2 linked regions of the Lepisosteus oculatus genome follow. The protein of the gene in region 1 interacts with the protein of each later gene in a biochemical or structural test. Links are inferred from orthologs where the notes say so. Each region holds a gene or a part of one and is shown in the gene's direction. Other genes may lie near its edges.

The links.
Region 2: the proteins of hdac4 (region 1) and 14-3-3 protein theta are reported together in a solved structure, tested with the Homo sapiens proteins (2 studies listed by BioGRID, with this or other methods). The link is inferred for Lepisosteus oculatus from reciprocal best matches to the Homo sapiens genes HDAC4 and YWHAQ.

The regions. Positions count from the first base shown.
Region 1 is NC_090707.1:21,979,223-21,986,353, reverse strand, and holds the start of hdac4 (histone deacetylase 4), read left to right. Parts: upstream 1-4,121; 5' UTR 4,122-4,219; intron 4,220-7,131. UniProt on the Homo sapiens protein: Responsible for the deacetylation of lysine residues on the N-terminal part of the core histones (H2A, H2B, H3 and H4).
Region 2 is NC_090697.1:11,938,709-11,946,426, forward strand, and holds the start of 14-3-3 protein theta, read left to right. Parts: upstream 1-4,713; 5' UTR 4,714-4,821; intron 4,822-5,674; 5' UTR 5,675-5,910; coding exon 5,911-6,204; intron 6,205-7,718. UniProt on the Homo sapiens protein: Adapter protein implicated in the regulation of a large spectrum of both general and specialized signaling pathways. Binds to a large number of partners, usually by recognition of a phosphoserine or phosphothreonine motif.

The DNA.
Region 1 (7,131 bases):
AATGACCAGGACATGGATTAAAAGTAAAATTAACAAACAATATCAAACTTAATATTTCTTTCTTGTTTCTTGAACACAATGCAACATCCAAAAATAATGGAGCACTTCATTTTTCTTCCTTCCCCCAAGCAAAACATATGCAAATGTTATATTGTGAGGCCAGGCATCTTTTGTTTTATACAATGGTGTGAAATTCTGATTCTTACATGTTCTATGGTTACACTTAAATGCCTCATTATATGATAGTATTTTGTTTAACAAGGATGCTTTCTGTAAGTTGAAAGGTCCAAACCTGAAAATGACACAGTGGAAATGATGGATTGTAAATTTCAGGTTAACGGTTTCAGAATTGAATGGATGGTCATATGTTTTAATGCTCAATTCAAATCTATCATAATGGTGAACAAATACAAATCTGAAAAGAAGTGGTACACAATTGCTCTTCACTGCAATTCTTATATTGATCTATTGTTACTCCTTTACACTTGGAGCCATGTTACATGGGTATTGGCACTTGCATATATTCGTATAACTCATGTAGGAGTATTAGAGATCATACAATATCTTGTTTGATAGGTGGGGCTTTGCTCAGTTTTGTATATGGGTTTCCTCTTCTATTCTCTCTGATTATGCCACATTCAGAAACATGTTTGAAAAGAAGAGTCTGTCTCCTTTATCAAACAAAAATTGATTAGTAGATTTCTGATGTCCTTACAACAAGTGGTCTGAACATTATGTACTGTAAGTGAACATTTGTGTATGGATGAAGGTTATCAAAAGGTTATTATTCCTCTGTGGAAGATATCTTCATGTTGGAAGCCCCAAAGCACAAATTATTAAGGGAGAACAAATTCACTTTAAAATTACATTTAATTTAAACCAGGACCAATAGAAACATAATACAGTGAGGGGCTTGCATTTGTCAAATCTGACATCAGAACAGCTGAGAGAAATGGAGAAGAATATGCACTGGGAGCTAAAACTAACACAAAGAGTTTTTTTTTTCACTACTGAAAGTCTGTTAATTGTAGACAATGAAAAAGGAACAACAAGTACTGGTATATTGACCAAATGTTTTCACTGAAGAGAGCTCAGCATCCCTTAGGCTCCATTTGGTTTTGAATAATCTTAACTCTCTGTAGAGTTAACTAATTGGCTGGACCTGATGACCAGGTCCATAAGTCTTTCAGGAAATAAAGAATGTGACAGGTACCCTTAACTGGGATATTTCAAATGACTCGTGTTCCCAGTGAAAAAATGCAGATGATGCATACATTCAGAGGAAAGGCTGAACACTGAACCAGAGACTTTATGCCAGCGACGTTTATATCTCTTTTTGCAAGGTTAGGAAAAAATAAAATCTACATTGGAAGGTCATGTTGACTGTTAATAAATATGTCCAGTATAACAAACTGAATCCACATGGATTTAGATAGGGTTGGTTTAATCTGAAAAATGTTAGATATACAGTATTTTAATAGGTTTGAGAGTATCAATAATTTCACCTGAAGAAGGCTCCACGGCCAAAACATTGTGTTTTTTCTTCTTTTTTTCAGCATGGAATAAACCTATTACTTGTTCCTTTACAGCCTAAGCATGCTGACACATCTACCCACCTGAACTAATTGAGTAATTATCATTCAGAGAGAGAAAGTGAGGGAAATAGGAAAGGCTCTGTGTGGAGGTGGCCACGCCCCTGGACTAATTGAGAGGTGTAGAAGAACAGTCAGTAAGAAAAGGGTCTCAGTGTGGGTCTAGATTTCAGGTTGGTAGGAAACAGAGTGAGAGTTCCAAAGGGAGGTTTCAGTGGCAATGGGCTGATTAAGTTAAGAGGCCTTTTGGGTCACAGTGACCTAGAGGCTGGAGAAAATACATCTTAGGCTCTAAGGTGATGTTCTTGCATTGAAATGGCAGGGTGGTGATTGTAATTTGCTGAACAGGTTGATGGTGCAACAGAAAGACTACAAGAGGACATGATCCAAATGCTCCATTCCATTGCCACTAAAGACTTTTGTAGTTGTTTGTTTATTTTTTTAGTCATGGATTTATGCACCTTGTTTTGTGCAGGGCTTATACATTTGAATTCAATGTTGTTGTTTTTTTGAAAATTGGGTGTAAAGTACAGTACTGAAGTCCCTGAAGTTTCCAAGGGTCAGATTGCAATCATTAGATGGCTGGAGTAAATGGATTAGGGATTGATTCGGTTTGGGTATTGAGAGAAAGAGTGGGAAATTGGGAGATTTATAGTGATTTGTTAGAAGGGAATGTTGGCTATAATAACCTGGAGTAATTAGCAGGGCAGGTGACTAGAAATGTGATTTAAGATGGTGAATGGAACTAGAGTATTGGGGTATAATTGCAAATTCTGGATTTTGTTTTTACTCTGACTGCTTTTTATATATTTCATTGCCTTTCAGCCAGGATGTTTTTGTATACTTTGAAACACAAAGGACAGTTGGATAATTCATGGGTCAAATTAATTGGAACTGTTGCCTGTTATTAGTCAAGGTTAAGTTGGGTTACATACAGTTCACCAACAAGCAGAAATATCTTGTGAGAGTATCTGTCCTGACATAGGTGGAGTGAGTCTAAGTGATCCTGTTGATTTTGGCATGGGGCTGACGGAACTATTCCCAATCTTTTTATAGCCAAGTGGCTGTTTAGGGACATTGAGCCATTGATAGTGGCGGTGGCCCCTATTACAGGTTAGAGAATCAACCTGGATTAGAGGCTTCATTGTGGGCTTCTCCCTTATGTTTGTTTTTATAATCTTTGCTACACCACCATAGATTAAGTAGGGGAACATGTCTAATTTCAGGGATATTAGATGACTTGTACAGTATTTTATCTTTGAGTCCAATGTGGTTTCTGTGTGGTGACATTATTACCCGTGCCTCTTTAGATTTTATTATAACTTGCATTTTTATATATAATTATATTACAGCTTCTGTTCTGGCTTTCTGCATCTATTATGGTCATTTTCTGGTTATTCCTTGACTTACCTGGGTTATGTTGATGGTGGTGGTGGTGGTGGTGGGGTTGGGATTGTTGATAATATTCTGGGTTTAAAGTTGATCCCAGAACTCGTTTGTTTAAGAGCGGGAGTAGGGGGGAAGGATTCAGACTTTTTCTGAGATCCAGGGCTTGATTATCAGTAGATGGCATAGTCAAGGATTAGTAAATATGGTAGGAATAAATAAATCTGACCTACAGTAGATGACTACTTTGAAACAAGTGCTTCTGAGAAGGAGTACATTTAGCATTGAAATTGGGGAAGCACTTTCCTAGAAGTGTTGGGGGGAGTCTGGAACAAACTGTACAATTGTGGAATTCTGGAATATGATTCAACAAGAACTAGATGTACAGACACTAAATGTATTGAATAGCAGCATTGATTTATTGTAGCAGCATCTCTTGGGTGAATACTGCATTTCAGCGGTGAATGAAGAGGATCCCACTCCTATGTTTACAACTCTTTAGGATGAAAAAGGCTATATGAATGCAGGGAGTTAAAAGCTTCTAGCACCCAAATAACCAAGATGGAATGGCTGATTGGTTTCTTCTCTTGGAACATTTCGTTACAATACAAACACTACAGTATTAAATGATGTAGCAAGTATTTATCCTTTGCTCTTTTAGTGTTTCATTTGTGTTTACTTCTATACCCTGCTAAAAACTTAGAACATTTAAGCAAAAAAAACGTATCGTAAAAATGCAACCTATTATATAAAGTCAGTAAACATGCATAATTAAGCTTATGCTCAGAACTAATAACCGCTTTACACAGGTATTCAAAAAAGATGTTAGTTTCTAGAAACCCGTTTAAAACTAACAAACGCCAATTATTTTGAGAAATAATCCTCTGAAATGTGGTATGAAAAAACGTAGGGACGTTCTTATATTTTGAGAAAATTGCTTTCAATGACCGTGTGATTTTGAGAAAACCAAGACATAAGCAATAAACACTCAAAGAGCACATTAATAACGCTGGTACAATAAAGTACACCACCTACTGCAACACTGCCTGATGTCTTCAGACACTGTAGGGATTAAGCTCCGCCTCGCACTCAAATGCAGGAGCGCGACACGTGATCCCCCTTGCCAAAATCCAGTATGGCGGAATCTGTCAGTGAGTGACTCCTTCGCTGGCGCACTCTCCAACGGGAATTAAATACATTACTTTTTTCAGACTGGAGTGACCGCCTCCCGGGGCAGGTAGGTGAGCATTGATTCAAAGTAGCGTTCTCCTCTTCAAGTGCCTCTGCTCACAGCAAGCACTGAGTGACAAGTTTGTATTAAAAAAAGCAAAACAATGTGTGCCTGTGGGTAGGTATGCAGTATCTTAACTGTGTTTTGTACCGTATTTAAGTTGGTCGCACTCACGTTCAACATTTTTTTTTTCTGAATCGCTACCGTTCTACCGAACATGAATGTTTGGGAGAATGGGTGGTATTTTAACGGTCGTTAATGAACATCGACCAATCTGTGTCAGGTAAGAGCCTCAGATAGTGGAAGATGGACAGAGACGCCGGCCTATAGGCGTCATGTTTGGGCGGTCTGGCGATTCATTCGCGTAATTGGCCGTCCGTCTGGCCTATGACAATACGAGTTGTGTTCCTGGTGGATCGAGAGGGCGTAACTGCTCAGATTTAATGATTGACACAGACCTTTGCCAATCAATGCTCGCAACCAAAAGGGGGGAAATCTGTAATAACCAGTCATATTAAGGATGATTTGAGTGGGCGGTTTTGAAAGTGTGCATCGGTATTTTTTTGTGAATGAGGGTAGGTTGTTTTTAATCTGCTGTCCCTCCCAGATTGTAAGGATCAGGGTACAATAATATTTTTGTGCGTCTGTACAGCAACCAGGTAGTTACAATTTGGTGCACATACAGTATAATAACCTCCTTGATGTGTATCATTGTTGCTTTAAGACGTTGTCTTATGGAGAAAAAAAAGGCGTTTTAAGGTCTATTAATCATTTGGAAAGTGTCCTTATTTTCAATAAGATTATTAAATTGAAATCTTATTATGTATACAGTACAGTTTTTTCGAATTCTTCACTTTACATTGAGAATACAAGGCGTTTATCAACCGTAAAGTAAGGGGAGTTTTTACATGGAATTTGGGCTGTTTTCAGTGTACTGCTGGCTGTACTGAAATGATCACGCACCGCCAGACTGTAGTCTTAACAAAAGCGTTACAGTGATGTGCACCAACGGAAAAGTATGATTTCATGAATCCCTTCATGTCTGTGGTATGCATTAAGAAATGGCAGGTACCTTTTCGTGTAACGGTAACCCATGCGAAGGACAATGTTGGCTGTACACAGCAACTGTGGAAATCTGTAGAAAAATTCTGTAACTATGCGCATCGTAGGACGTGCCAAAACTTACAATAAGGTAGCCAGCAGCATGTTGCTGTCTCTCGGCTCTAGAATCACGTTACTGAGCACGGATCGCAGACTACAGTTTACGAATGAATGAAAGTTTGATTGATACTCGTGGGCTAAGAACACTTCAGTTCTTTGTATTCAGCCCTCTTAATTTTTTATTTGGGCGATTTGCTTTGAGATGCGCAGTACATTGGTAAATAAAGTGTATTTATACGTGGCCCATGGGGATGACCCGTAACTTTATTTCGTCAATGTTGAAATGACAAGTATATGTTAAATATTTCTCTCCCGACATTTCTGAAAAGTAAGGAGCAAATAAGATTTACTGCCCTTCTCATTACACAGGAGCTGCAACAGTACAGCAAAAAGTCCCGTTTTCATCGACCGTCTGCAGAATGACTGTAACATCTTGAGGACAGTGTTTTGTGGTGTGGGTGTTTGATTCGGTGTTGGCCCAGAGAAAAAAAAAACAAATATTGAGGAAATCCTAACTTTTACATATCGAGTCCTGGTCCTGGAGGGCCATTGTGTCTGCGTTTTTTCTAGGTGTCTTTATTGCAGTCCCATGTCAAAAACTGAGAAAAGCCCGCTCTGTTGAACCAGGATTAAATGTGACTGTTCTTGGGGAAAATAGGCTTCTACAAATTACTGCTGTAAATTTATTTTAATCACAGTTGTTTTTTTTAAATAAACAATTACTCCACTTCGTTTAAAATGTGGTTTGAATTAACCATCGCCTTCCTGTCCTTTATTCTGAAAAAGATAGCTCCAACACTGAAAGTCACTTCTTTTAAGTAGAGTTCACCATGTTCAAATAAATTATGCTGTCAGAGCACTGAAAGTGTGTTAATCGATTTGCACAGTTATCTCGGCAGGTCTTTCAACGAATGGCATGCCAACACAAAACTTTTATTTATAAAAGTCACAAGCTTGTTCTCACAGATTGGATATGCTGTTCCGATTGGATGTCGTAAAGCTGGTTTTGAAGTATATAAAAAACAGCCTCATGAAAGCTCGTTTTCTTTGTGCGTTGACATCCAAAGACAACCAAGAACAGGTGAGAAAAGCAACGGTATAGTCAGTGGAGAATGTCGCACCGTATAGGAGAATTGAGCTGTTAAATGTTTTATTGTGTGATACTGTGGCAAAGATCTCAGCTGTATAATGACTGGCTATGGATTTAACGCCAGCCTTGTTTGGAGTCCAGAGTACTTGTTACTCATGAATTCCAGGCACCACACAAATGTTTTATATCCCTTACACAGCTTGGCACAAGGGTATGACTTTAAATAATGACTTCATTTTGGGAATAGGTGATTTACTTTTTATAGTTTAGGATAACAATTGAAACCTATTTGAGGATATTGCGGATCAATTTTACGTTCAGGCAGATAATGAACATTTACTGCTGTTTAATAATAGACTCTAATGTCTGCTGTAGTGTGTCTCACATCCTATCAGAAGTTTGGGCTTATGCCAGTCTAGCACAGTAAACATTGGGGTGGGGTGGGGGGTACGGGGACATTTAAAACAAAATTAGCTAAAAAAAAACAAGACACTGGAGAATAACAGCCTTTTGGTTTTAGAATGTGATCTGTATGGTTAGAAAAACCAGGGGCCTTTTGCTGTCTCTCTCTTTTTTTTAATGAATTAGTATACATGTAACTCAATTAAAAGCTGGTACCATATTGAACAATTCCTAAAGCATTTTTACACAGACTTTGTGTATTTTGTTTG
Region 2 (7,718 bases), on another chromosome or scaffold:
GTGTTTGTTGCGTCAATGTGTGGATTGCTGGCCCATTCCGGGTGTGTCCTGCCTTCTGCCTGTTGCTCGCTGGGATAGGCTCCCCCGCAACCCCAGATAGGAAACAAAGCGGTCAGAAAATAGATGGACGGATGGATTAATCTTTGGTTTAGGTCACAAGGTCTGCTGTCTTTATGTGTGCAAGTGTGACTGTTGTGGTTCCGCACGGCCTCATGCCCTCTGCCACCCCATTCCGTCCTGCAACGCCTGGGGAGCGAACCCAGGGCTCCAGCATAACACAACAGGGAACCAGCCGCATGAGCTAAAGGAGACCTCCCCCAGCCCAGACGGCTGAGGTCCCCGCTACGCGCAGTGAGGGACGATGACGTCACCGTATCCGAACTAGGTCCGCTACACAAGCCTTTAGGGCCACCATGATGTTGGGTAAATAGACATTCCTTTTCTGCGCCTCTCACCTGAAGGGTGCCTTGGCCATGTTCATGTTTCAGAGCGAAGCACTACAGTTGCAAAAAGACCGGCCAAGCACATGTTGCAGGAGAGTGGGAACGGTGTGTTTTTCACCCATCCTACGGGAATGCCATTTGTTCCTCTGCCTACTAACCGGCTGCCAGGATCAGAAAATCGCCGAGATAGCTTTTTTTTTTTCCTCGCTATGTGTTCTGCAAACCAAACCCTGATCCTTTACAAACGAATCTGAAACTAAACGTGGACGCATTGATTCTTATGTCTCTGCCTTTGGTACTGCTGTGTCTGTGACACTCATATCACTGCGCTGTGGAAAGTACGTACAAAGCATTGCAGTGCTCCACTCACTTGAGGTTGCCATGGCTGCGCACTGCTATGGTAATAACTTAAGAGGAAGAGGTCTTTGTTGGTATCAGCGCTGCTCCTTTTCAGATTTTTTTAAAGACGGTCGTCTGAGTGGATGAATGCCCCTTTGCTTCGGTTTGACGGTAAAAATATAATGGCTCTCTAAAAGGGGCGACCTCTCTGAGAGCAAAATGGAAAAAAGGCCTCTCACCAGAGGGTGGCAGGAGTTCATGTTGGATCGTGGCAGCACAAATCGCCACCTCCTGGCAGCTGGCGAATCCGAACTTGAAGACTCACGAAATACGCACCCCACAACTTATTTTTATTATTTGACTGACACCTGTAGCCCACACGAACAAAGTTTATACAGCCTGGAATTTTACCTTGCTTACCTTGTGACATACTGTACCTGGCTTGAGGTTACCACACGATTGCCCCATCTAGAGTTTTTGCACCTCCAACAGCCCTAGCTGCCTACCAGCAGCCACATCACCCTGCAACTCACAACTGGCAGCCCACTGAAGCTCAGCAAGTGTGAGCCTGGTCAGTCCCTGGATGGGAGACCTCCTGGGAAAAACTAAAGTTGCTGCTGGAAGAGGTGTTAGTGGGGCCAGTAGGGGGTGCTCACCCTGTGGTCCATGTGGGTCCTAATGCCCCAGTATAGTGATGGGCACTATACTGTAAAAAAGCACCTTCCTTTGGATGAGACATAAAACTGAGGTCCTGACCCTCTGTGGTCATTAAAAATCTCAGGGTTTCTTGAAAACAGTAGGGGTATTACCCCAGTGTCCTGGCCAAATTCGCCATTGGCCTTTACCAATGACAGTCAGTTTGTGATTTTGAATTTTACCATTTCATTTTGCCACTGTCAAGAGGAGAACCTCCTGCCTCATCTAACAATAGGGAGATCAAAGGAGTTTCAGTCTTCATAACCCTCACCATGGCTGCCTATAAGACAGTTCTGACGTTTTTCTTCCTCCAAAGATGAAGAGTCTTACCAGTTAATCCACGTGGGCTAAATCATAATGAGTGTGGAAGGTTGGGAAAGTGTGCCTGCCATCTAAATCCTTTTGTCAAAATCTAGCATTTTATAAAGCACCATTTGAATCTTCCAAGATACAGAGTTTTGCATACAGAGTTCACTGAATAGGAGTCAAAGTTCTCTGTCAGGCAAAGCATTTCTAAATATGCTTATCTGTAATCAAAAGGGCCTCTGCCAGCAATATTATGAATGTAGTTTGGAAAGGGAATGCTTGGACTGATGTCAAGAGAACAGCAGCACATCTCACTGAGGTACATAGGGCTGACTGAGCCTTGCTCAGAATCATGAAGCCCCTAAAATGAACATTTTACACATCAAGCAGTGCTTACTACCAAGGAACCAGAGTTGTGATTCTTAGGAAGTTCTCTTTCTTTCTATCTCCTCTGAAGTCAGGAATAAAACTAACAGAAATGGAGGTTTATACAAGCAATACCTGCATATTAGAAAGGGGTTGGCAAACCTTTAATCATCCCTTTTTACGGTTGCCAAGAGACTTTTATTCCCATAAATCACTACAAAATGGATGTTCTGTTAAAAAAATTATGTTAGTCTTATTAAACAGAAAATCACAGTTTTCTCTACCACCTGTGCATACTGTTTGACAGGGACACTGGGGAACACAGGATGTCTTGCTGAATGGCTCACAATAAATGAAATCATAAAGCCCAATTAAACACCATTCTCATATACCAATAAAACATGAGTTATTAAGATTAATTTCATAGTGTTATTCATCTGTGTACTGTTCCTGCAGAGGAAATGGCAGCAAATCTGAAATCTGCAGCTTGGTTTCTTCAGATGTTCCTATAAGGAAGGCAATCACCATTTTGTTTTAAGCAACAAGTGCAGTGATTATTCTGGAGCTCTGTGCCTACAGACTGAGCTATCGTGACGCGTGGGTCAAGGGGAGAGCGTTTAATCAAACTGTTCTGCAATGTGATTATCAAAACCAACGGGACCTCCTGGGTCTCATTCTGAGGCTGTGCGTCACAGGCTTTTCAAACAGTTCAGTTCAACTTGTTTGCAAAAGTATTAGTTATCATACCTCCAACACGCATCTCACCCTTCCTCAGCTAAAGCTAAAGGCAGCTTTTAAATTGTAGCTTTTTGTTTAGACTACAAAATGTTTGGAGGACAATTGGATCTGTAATGGCAGCAACCTGATCTGAATCCAGCACTGTAAGAAACAGGATATTTAAAACATGCCTCATCGGTCCACTTCTTCTTACACCCCAGGTGCTCCTTTGTCGACGAGGAGTCGAAGGGCAGGTCTGGCGCACGTGAAAACAAGCTTTATCCTGTCCCCACACTGGTGTTTTGGGATTGGTCAAGATTCCTGCTCGGCCAACAGCTAGGAGTGTAATTTAGATCTCGAGCAGGGCTAATGATTAACGTCCGACTCGGAGCTGAGCACAGGTGAGGAAATATCAGATGACAGTTTTCCTTTATGGCATGGGAGGGCTCACGAGGGGGAGGGTGGGCGTCTAACAGCGTCTAATCCAGAGAGGGTGAAGCGCTGAATAAAAGTCAGTTGTGCTCAACTGCCATTGTGCTGCTGCAGGTGCCACCTTCTCCGCAGGAAAAAAAGTGCTGACGATATTCTCAGTTCGGCTGTGTCACACAATAACTCCACAGATCCTGGAACAAGCTATTAATCACACTACTGGAAATCCTCGTAGGCAGACCTTCAGACCATAGCAGAAATGCTTTAAGCCATGAGTTTTCAAACTGGGGAAGATTCTGGATCCTTGACTATTATTCTGTATAAACTGGTGGGGATGTCCCTGTAGGATTAGCACCGGAAATGACTCCCTCGGACTGGCGTAGAGTTTCTGTGAGACCAACTTTATTACAACTATAATACAAATGTATTGTTCCTATTATCTGTTATTTAGCATGATCATTTCTCACCAAACAGCTACAACGCGGCAAAGAAAATGTAAATATATTTTTGAAAGTTACCTCCTTGAGCGAAACTCCCTCAAACCACAGTGTTTATGATTAGGAAGTACTGTATTGTTTGTCACAGGACATTGGAGTCCCACCAAACTTACTGCACCCTGGTCTTGAGGCCAGATTTGGGATTTTACCTGCTACCATCCTTGTATTTCATGGAATCGTGAGAATATGACAGCTCCTTGCTTAAACGTCATTTGAAACCTACTTTCCGATAATTTAGGGTTTAAGAATTGTAATCCCAAATTTTGTATTCGAATGTCACCGGACACGTCCTCCTTAAATATCCGTCCGGAGGAAATGTTCAAATATCTTGAAACGCATCCCCCCCCGTTTTCGTTCTGAACAGGTATGCGATATAAATGATTATAGTATAAATACCACCGGCGGTCCACCCCTCTCACGTCTCCCCTCGCTCGACTGAGCGCCCTCTTATTTTGAATAAATATGGTACCGCTCATCTATTCATTCAAAGCCGGGGGAATGAAATACGCGAAGCTACAATCATAGGGGTGGGCATGGTCAGAGGGTCCACAGGGGGGCTTTTGGCTGGCTCCCCGCTTGCAAGAGATGAGTGCCGCCAGCCTCTGAGTGAGACACACTCATCCACCACGCCCGCTCCCGGGCCTCACTGATGCCGACTGTCACTACAGTAGTGCTACATTCAGCGGTGGTGGAGTAGGAGGAGGAGGAGGAGGAGGGGGGGTGCTGGATAACCATGGCAATGGTGACGTCTTCTCCCTTGCTCTAATTGGAGGAAACCCCGTGGCCCCAGCCGCAGCCTACAGGCCAGTCGAACTTGCCCATTTAAAGCCCGCCTTCTTCCGCGCGCTGCGGTGCTACTGGCGAGCATTTTTGAACTGTAACGGTCGAGCGGTGCGGGACTCACTCTCTCATTGGGGCTCGCGCTCGCCTGGCCCCGCCTCGGCTCTCGTGCTCGGTTGAGACTGGCGGCTGGGCTCCTTTCCTCTCTTCAGCCCTAAAGCGGATCAGCTCGGAGGAGCGGTACGGAGGTAAGCGGAGGTTTGGCGCTGCTTCCCTCGTATTTTAGGGGCGCAGTAAGGAGGGTTGTGCTGGGGGAAGCGACGTGAATGTGCCGTTTGTTGAAGGGCTTGCGTTTATTGAACCCGATAACCGTGTGGTATATCGGACCTGGCGTGTATGGCGGTTCGGGTTTGCCGCATCCATTTTGTCACACAAGGGGAGAAAAAAAAGACTGTCTCGGGAATTGGTTTTCGGCTCATAGGAGCCGCCATTTTATCTAAATCTGTGTTTAAACGCGGAGTTATTCGGATAACTGCCTGCGTGGTTCGTGAATGGGGTCGAAACGCTAAGGAGCAGCGGTGGCGGGGAGACCCGAGTGTCGTCTCGCTTTTTGAGCTGGGCGCTGACACAATGGCGAAATCGCCTCTTAAGACACGGGGGGAATTTCCTGGCCATTATTGCCAAATTGCCGGGGTGGGTAGCGGAGTACGATGTCGTGTCTCTCCGGGTGGTGCTCGCTGCTGCTGCTTGTTCCGAAAGCAAACCTTTGCCGAGCCCCGGGAGGGGGAGACTGACCGCCGCCCGTTTCCCTGCTCTTCAAGGGAGACGGGACCTGCGTGTGTGCGCGTTGGATACAGCCTCCCCGCCCCTGGGTCACGTTAGAAGTACTGGAGAGAGAGAGAGAGAAAAAAAAGATGGCAGGTCCTTTGGTGGTCTCTCGTCAGCCTGGAGACGTGCAGTCTCGATTCAGCCCGACGGGTTTCTTGACAACCGTACGATCGACGCGCACGGATTTGGGCTCGATGCTTGCGCGACGTGTGTGCGTGTAGCTTGCGTGCAGCTCAGCCTCAGTTGCCCACCTCTTTCCCGTTCGGCTCGCAGGCTTCCCACAGGACGTCGCCTGCACGACTGCTGTCTGCTCACCTGCTTGCCCCGCGTCCCCCCGTCCCCGGCCATCGACACCACCGACAGCGCTCAGGCTCTCCGGCGATCCCGGTTCCCCCCCCCCAGCCCGCAGCTGGTCACCCGGCCCGTCCTGAAACACTGCGCCTCGAAGAGAATATCCTGCCCTCAGCCCCACTCCCCCTCCCACACACGCACGATCGGAAGCGGACGCGATGGATAAAACGGAGCTGATCCAGAAGGCCAAGCTGGCGGAGCAGGCCGAGCGCTACGACGACATGGCCGCGTCCATGAAGGAGGTGACCGAGCAGGGGGCCGAGCTGTCCAACGAGGAGAGGAACCTGCTGTCCGTGGCCTACAAGAACGTGGTGGGTGCCCGCAGGTCCGCCTGGAGGGTCATCTCCAGCATCGAGCAGAAGACCGAGGGCAGCGACAAGAAGCTGCAGATGGTCAAGGAGTACCGGGAGAAGGTGGAGTCCGAGCTGCGGGAGATCTGCAACGATGTTCTGGTGAGACCCGCCGCCGCTGCCCGCTTTACCTTCAGATCACCTTCCCAGCTCCCAGCCGGGTCCCCGGACCCCGGGGGCCCGCTCGCAGGCGCGCCGCGGTGGGGTGAGGTCAGGTGATTATTAATAGGAATGTGTAGTGCAGCAAGAGGGGTGGGGTGAGCATGCAGTCCCGTCCTGGTTTCATTTCATTTCTCATCCGTGGCCCTGCTGGAGAAGGGCAGGGGGAGAACGCCCCCACAAGGTGGGAGTTCCCCCTGATCCTTCGGCGTGGGATGTGGAGAGAGGCTGGGGAAGACATGCAGTGGCTGGCAGGGGACCGAGGTGTTTGGTGAGGTCGTGTGTTTTGAGTAGAGCGATGCTGCCCTTAGTCCCAGTCCAGCAGAGAAGCTGCCAGTCCCGAGTTCTGGTCCCAGGGCCGTGCTGATCTGCAGCTGGGAGGCTGGGCTGTTGAGGGCGTCGTCGGCCCGTTGCAGCAGATCGCCTACCCAGGCCTCCCACAGATCAATACGTGATGCAGCAGTTTCGTTTGGCTGACCGACGCTGTGGGGATTGAGCAGCACGTTGATAGAGGAGCAGGACTGGAACGGGGCAGCAGTGAGCGAGGGCACCACTGGGTGGGCTACACAGGGGCCTGATGGCAGGTGTCCGAGCTCTGCATCCCGCTATTAGCACAGCAAGTCTTCTGGCCAAGAAATTCTATTGATGGGTCTGAGGAACTTTAAAACGGGTCAGATTTTATTTTAATTTGAATTGTTTTATGACTTGCTGTGGTGGTTTAGTTTAAAGGACGTTTTCATAGGTTAATTTTTCATATTTTTCTACCCTAGTCCCTTCAGCAGAGATTCACATCTTCAATAGAAATTACATGTGATAGGACTGTGCTTGTATTGTGAAGTGGGTGTATTGGGGTTGTTGGTATTTTAATTTGTATCCTTTGAGTTTTACTGTTGACGTATTAATTGTGCTTTAAGATTTTTTGTTAGATAATTGTAAGTATTGTACTCATCTGAATCCTCATTATATCGTCTGAAGTGTAATTCACTCCCTTTTCTTGAGCTGTACCAGGCCCTGGGTTCTACGTGTGGTATTAAAATGCACTTTTAATGCAATTAAATGGTGTTTGGTAAGCTACACTAAAATTATAGCTCAATGTTTTCAGTGGTAATATAGATTTTAAAGTGGGATAGGAAAAAAGTGGATCATACCTTAAATATCAGGGTGTGTACATCTTTCATACATGAAGGGCTTTGAAGTGTTACCTCAGGCGGGTACATTACACCGGTTTAGGATTATTATTAGGTTTGAAGTGGTAATGAACCATTTTTGTAAGGTTATATTTTTTTAATTAAAAAATTGGGAAGGGAAAAAAAAGTGCCCTTTAATGTTTAATATACAGAGTAACCGTTAAAATACATGTTGAAAACGTGGGATTTAAATTTCACATTTACATATTTGATTCATATCTCAAAACTTTATAAAGGCTAATTCTTCGTGACCTATCTAAGTTGACTACT